2 separate regions of the Mus musculus genome follow, and region 1 is reported to be linked to region 2. The links are microRNA targets in miRTarBase. Many come from high-throughput screens and were not tested one by one. Region 2 holds a microRNA gene; the other region holds the end of a gene's coding sequence. Distances are from middle to middle.

Region 1 (3,081 bases), 4.7 Mb from region 2:
TTCATCCTCCTGACTCTCCATACATATATACAGATTTGCCTCACAGTAGAGAAATAGAATTCTTATATTTCCTATTTGTAGCTATGGCTCCTAAACCATGTTGTGAGTAAAACAATCCTACTACACTACCATCTTGATAAGGAGAAGGACACTCAAAATATTTTAAAAGGCAATGGGAAAACCGTACAGAAAACCTAAGATTACAAAATTAAAGTAATCCACAGGCACGAGGGCTATCTGCACCACACAGTCCAACCCTATTGCCCCAGGGGCAAACCAGGCTCTGCTGGGACAAGGAATGAGGAGGGGCTGTCCAGAGGGACAAGAAGGCATGGGAGAGAGCTCCCGCTGGCCTGTGCTTCTCAGGCCTCCCCAGCCACTGCAAGTGGGTGTTCCGCTGTGTGCCCCTACCCAGCCACTACTGCTAAAGAACACAGTGCAATTTCGAGACGATCTTGCTTAGGGATTGCCTGTGGACATGGTCCTCCTCACTCACAAAGTGCCACCCCAACTTCAGAACCACTGCAAACAAGCTTTGAGTCCTCTGCTCTGAAAGCCAAGTAGCTAGTCTCTTTGCACATGGATTTTGCTTCCATTTCTGAAATTAAAAAAAAAAAAAGCTTTCCCTCAGCCCCCTCCCCTTCACTGTTAAGCCAGGCTTGCCTATAAACAAAGACCTCACCATTCCTTAGTTAAACCTTTCAAAATCACACTACCACACTAACAGACTCATTAAATACATACTTATTACAGGGTGACTGAATTCTGGTCAGTGTGCAAGCTCAGACTCACCTGTGCTCACCGTTCTCACCTGTCCCAGGATGATGAAGACAAGGCTAGCCTATAGCTGGAGGACTTTACTGCTATCTACTCATGGCCTCTCCACCCAGTCTAGGCACTCAGCTATATAAAAGTCTGTGCACAGTATACACACTTTTCCATTGCAAAAGTACAAAGATTACAAGATGGACGAGTTTTGTGTGTTGTGATTTATATAAAGCTAATACACGCCAGCAAAATGGAATAATAAAACCAAGGAGTAAAGTGCCTTTAAAAATAACAGCAATATTTATAGACTCTTTTGACATTAAATCTTTTATAAAGCCATATGTTACACATATAACACCTTCTCTTTCTGTAAGGTTGACATTATTCAGAGAGACAGCCATACCACAAAACAACACTCAGACAACAAGCACTCTACAGCATCCACCACGGTCTATACACACACAAGCAGTCCTAAGATGACATCCATTTTCTCCTTTGAAACCATCACTGACATTGCAGTAACATGCTGACGTGGTTGTCATTGTTTCAAGTGACACCAAACTGACACCAGAGAGTACAAGGGTCTTCAGTCAAACAAAAATATTAGTCTTATTTAAATTAAGAGAAATTCACTTAAACTAAAAATAAAATAATTTATTTACGATGAGATTTTTAAACACCTAACACATTTTTTCAGGGAAATGTTGGTGCTAACTCTGAGCCAGCTTCACTTTCTCTGGACTGTGGGTCTGTATAAGAATATATAATTTGGGGCTAGAGAGATAGCTCAGCAGTTAAGAGCACTGACTGCCCTTCCAAAGGTCCTGAGTTCAATTCCCAGCAACCACATGGTGGCTCACAACCATCTGTAATAAGATCTGATGCCCTCTTCTGGTGTGTCTGAAGACAGCTACAGTGTACTCATATAAATAAAATAAATCTTTTAAAAAAAGAATATATAATTTACTTATCGCTCAGTCATTTCAGAAACCACTGCATGTTGTCTCATACTTAGGAGCCCCTACAGAAGACCTGTTCAGTAACAGTTGTTACTATGACTACGATACTTGTTTTGTACCCTAATTCTTCAAGAACAAATCAAAAATGGACATTTTATGACAGAGTCACTCATTTATCTCAAAACTAGAACAAATAAAAAATAACACCATGAAAGGAATTTCAGCATGTTCTGACCACTGCTGCAGGAACACAGAAACTCAGCAAAGTACAGACATGCAGGAAATCAGCACTATATAGGAAAATTAACAATTAAACTCAGCACACCTTCAACAATTGGAGTAAAGGCAGACTCTTAATAAAATCATATTATGTCTTTCTCAAGGCAATCATTAGCTACAAAAGGAAAATGATTTCATATCCCTGGTCCATAAGAAGAAATATTTATTTACATCCTCAATGGACTAAAAGAGGTTTTAGACGTCACAATTAAAATTGTATGCTTCCAAAAATATCGTATCATCAATGCAGTTAACTTAAAGTGTCAGATATTAATAAATCCATTTAGACTTCTTAAAAAATCAACACAAACATACTTCCTAGAGTGCAAAATGCTTCTTATTAAATACTTCAGGAACACAAAAGCAATTTGTTTGGAAACACAGGAATCCTTTGCTGAAGGGCCATCATCAAAAGAGACACCCATTGCCGGCAATGGGTGCCGGACAGAACCACAAGCTGGAGGAAGACACAGCACTAAGGTTTGTGCTGTCTCTGCCCACTGCGGATAACCTGGTTATTTGTACAGGCTCATGGTTGGACTCTGGTACATGCACATGTATGCATCGCAAAGAAGTCTGCGCGCACAGCCTTGAATCCTTCTGGAATCCAAAGAGTGCAGGTCCTCCAGAGACATCTTCAAGTACTCTCCCACTTCTGGGCAGGGCGTCACTTGTGGAATGTTGAAGCCATTCTGACCACCTAGAGAAAGGGGCAGTGAAATCTATTTAGGGAAGTGAATGTCTAAGTCCTTCTGGCATCCTGTCCTACCTGAACAATTCTACTATCCTAGAATTTAATGAGTACTGACTCTGAGAATTGGAAGAAAACCTTTGTTTGACTTCCAGTTTCTAGAATTATAGTCTCCTTGGCTTCTGAGAGGGTTCCACAGGCAAAGGTGAATAAAACTGGTGAAAGAACACATATTTAAGATAGGCCTGATTTGCAGGCTGCTACCCACTGTGTGCACAGTCTTGATTCCTCATACCTGCAAGTCCCTCCCATACACTAACAGCCTGACATTCTTTTCCACAAAAATTTTGCTCAGTTTTTGAAACACCTAGTAATGCCCATTGC
Region 2 (3,081 bases):
GAGAGGACAGACTGAAAAGGGTGACCAAGTAGTTGGGATTGTGTAGCCCTCTATTTCCATTTACTTTTTTGGTGAAGCAAGATCTGGAAATGCAGGTGTCCTGGAACTCATTACGGAGAATAGGGGCTGGCCTGAGACACCTCTACCTCTGCCTCCTGAGTGCTGGGATTAAAGGAGTGTGCCACCACTCTCTTAATCCCATTTAATCTTTCCATTTTCTTTAGGCAATTCTTTCTTCTAGGTTACTATAGAACACAGGGTGGGCCGGTTTTTGTGAAAGCCGGGTTCCACAAGGGCGAGTGGAAATGTCTCTACGAGTGGTTAGCCCTCACTCTGGGTCATCGACCCTGTCCCGAAACACAGATCGGGCACCAGACAAAGGTCGCTACTGCCTCCCGCTAACCCGGTGGCTCCTCTGCCCCATCTTGGGCCTCCTGGGCAAACTGGTCCAAGCTGACCGCCTTCCAGCCACAATTGCTCGGCTGAGGCCCGGAAGTCCTGTAATGTCTGTGCCCTCAAACACCGCTCATTCTAGCTGGACACTTGGCTGCCAATGCCTTGCGGGCTTTTCTGGAAGGTGGGGGTGGGGAATCTGCCCCAGGGTTTTGAGTGGCGGCAGCGCCGCTGCAAACCAGACAGAGCTGAGCAGCCCCGGGTAGCAGCAGCACCCAGTGCGGCGGCCCCGGGCGACCCTCGGGCTGGACTCGAGCTGTGTTGCCTCAGCGATCAGTGTGCAGAGAAGGCCCGGAGATCACGGGATAGGGGGCGGGGGGAAGGAGAGTGGTGTCGCTGGCCGCAGGCTGGCACTTGCTGACCTAGACTAGTGAGGTCAGCGAAAGACGACCGGGGAAACACTCTGTAAGGAGGCCGTGGTTCAGCGATCAGCGCGGCGCTCCGCTAGAGGTCAGGTCTCCGGAAAGTGATGAAAAAAAAAAAAAAAAAAAAAAAAGACCCCAGAATGCCAGCGTGGTACCAGAGGGAAAGGGCGACACATACCCCCTGGGTAGTGAGTTCAGGGAAGCCCTTTCCGAAGAAGCCACCCCTTCAGTCAACCCGTGTGTTCAGGTGGCGGGAATCCGGAGAGCAGTGGAGGCGCCCTGGCCCATAGGGCGGGTCCAGGGCCACTCGAATCCAGCTGGCAGGTGACGGGGGCGGTGCCCAGTCCTGCCCCCAGGGGATGTTCCTGGAGGCCAGAGGCGGGTCAAAGAAGAGTGCTGGCGACGCCTATGAACCTCGGGCGGCGGCTGTAACTACAGGTACTGCACAGGGCACCGTGTCCTACCTATTTGGGCATCTCAATTCGGCTCTGAGAACTAAAATTTTCAAAGGGCGCCTAACTCCAAACATCCATGTCCTCGGGTGTCCGAGAGTGGAGTCCTGGGGTCGCCTGAAGGCTACGTGTTCCGGGAGCCGCAGAGCCAGGGCACCGAGGGCTGCTGGGGGAGGCAGTGAGGTCCTGGAAACCTCTGGAGAGGAGCACTTGCAGACTCTGGAGCCAGAGAGCCAGGTCCCGCAGGTGCCAGTTGAGCACCGGACCGAGCGCCCGGGCGGTCCACAGCTGGGCCGCCTGGCACTAGTATAACGGAGGTACTGGGGCAGTTGTGCCCCTGTCTCGGCTCAGAGGCCTCCAGGTGTGTTTTCTACCGAAGCCCGCGGCATCCAAACCGGCGCCGGCGGAATTGCAGATGGAGACGCCCATCCAGCGCGAAATCCGCCGCAGCTGCGAGCGGGAGGAAAGCCTGCGCCGGAGCCGGGGTCTGAGTCCCGGTCGCGCGGGCGAGGAACTCATTGAGTTGCGCGTGCGGCCGGTGCTCAGTCGGCCCGGCTCCGGTACTCCGCTGCCGCGCGCCCTGGAGCGCGCTCGGGCGGGCGCGAAGATGCAACGGGACATCGAACGCGAGGCTCACAGGCAGGCGGCGCTGGCGAGCCCCGCGGTTCCGGAGCCTAGCGCCCGGCGGCGGCCGCAGCCGCTGGACGAACTCAAGCGCTTCTTTGAGGCTGCGGCGGAGGACGGCGCTGGCTTGCAGAGGCAGCCAGAGACCGGAGGCCGGCTGCACCCCGCCGTTCAGGACGGCTGTCCGGTACTGGGGCAGTTGCCACCGCTCGTTGCCCCGTCACTGCTGGAGCAGGAGGTGCGACGAGTGCGCGAGCGCGAGCGGGAGCTGCAGTTGCAGCGGCGCAGCATCTACGGCGACGCCGAGGTCCAGGAGCCAGCGCCGAGCCTCACCCGTAAGCGGTCCCCCTGGGCCCTAGAGCTCCAGCTGTCTCCACCTCCAGTGATCATTCATCTGTAGGCTTGCAGACCCTTAACTATTCTCCTGGGGGTTCACCTTCTTTTCTTCACTCCCACTCCTGGAGTGAGGATCCCCACATCCATCAGACCTTGGAACCTTGACTTCTGGCGTTCTCGGGTCCTCTGTAGTACTCGGGTGCCTCTCTACATTGAGTTTGCCTCATTCCTGTTCCTGGGTCCTCAGAACTGGGTGGAGGCCTTCATGGGGAAGAGGGGTGCACACCTGTATGTATATAAGGGGTGCGGCCATCCTCCAGCTGGCAAGAGGAGGGGCAGTCGCGGCTGAGTGTTCCTTCCCCCACAGCGAGCAGGGGAGATGGAAAATTGTCGGTGATCTGGCCTCCGCGGAGACGGGCCTCTGAGAAGGTGGGAGACTCCCTTTCCGATGCTTGTCGGTCTCCCAGCCCTCCCTGCAGCACCTGGGCACTGGGGTGGAGGGAGAAGGTGCCTCTTGGTCCCCTGGAGCGCCACTCTAACCCAAACTCAAAAGTCCTAGACGCGATCCAGAGAGTGAAGAGGAGGTGGAGGCCTAGAGGCCAAACTTCTCCCTGAGGGTGTTCTTTCTCTTCCCCTTTTCCTTCTAGGAGCGCAGACCCTGAGGTCTATGAAGGTTGGGACCTGCGGACAGAAGTAACATACCCTTTGGAGAACCAGGGTAGGGTTACTCTCCAGATCAGCAGAAGGCCTAGAGAGGGAAGGGCTAGCTTTCTTTAATGGCAACTTGAAATCCAGCCCATCTTTGATACTGACTATGGAATTAACCACCTTTCTCCATAAAATTCTCTAGT

The links. The annotated mature microRNA mmu-miR-1199-5p reads UCUGAGUCCCGGUCGCGCGG and lies in region 2 at 1,757-1,776, shown strand. An mRNA with a match to its seed (bases 2 to 7 or 8) in the 3' UTR can be bound and repressed. Matches are read on the target gene's strand: a 7mer-m8 pairs with bases 2 to 8, a 7mer-A1 pairs with bases 2 to 7 and ends in A, and an 8mer does both.
Region 1: the mRNA of Cyld is a reported target of mmu-miR-1199-5p. The part of its 3' UTR that is shown has no 7-base or 8-base seed match.

The regions. Positions count from the first base shown.
Region 1 is chr8:88,746,454-88,749,534 of GRCm38, reverse strand. It overlaps Cyld (CYLD lysine 63 deubiquitinase), which reads right to left. Exons shown (of 17, transcript NM_173369.3): 17 at 1-2,706. The coding sequence ends at 2,522. Among named protein-coding and RNA genes, the nearest start is that of Cyld, 51 kb to the right of the region's middle.
Region 2 is chr8:84,010,289-84,013,369 of GRCm38, reverse strand. It overlaps Mir1199 (microRNA 1199), which reads left to right and starts at 1,737; the gene lies at 1,737-1,855. Misp3 (MISP family member 3) reads left to right here and starts at 1,650. Exons shown (of 3, transcript NM_001291292.1): 1 at 1,650-2,229; 2 at 2,598-2,659; 3 at 2,878-3,081. The coding sequence starts at 1,686. The coding sequence ends at 2,892.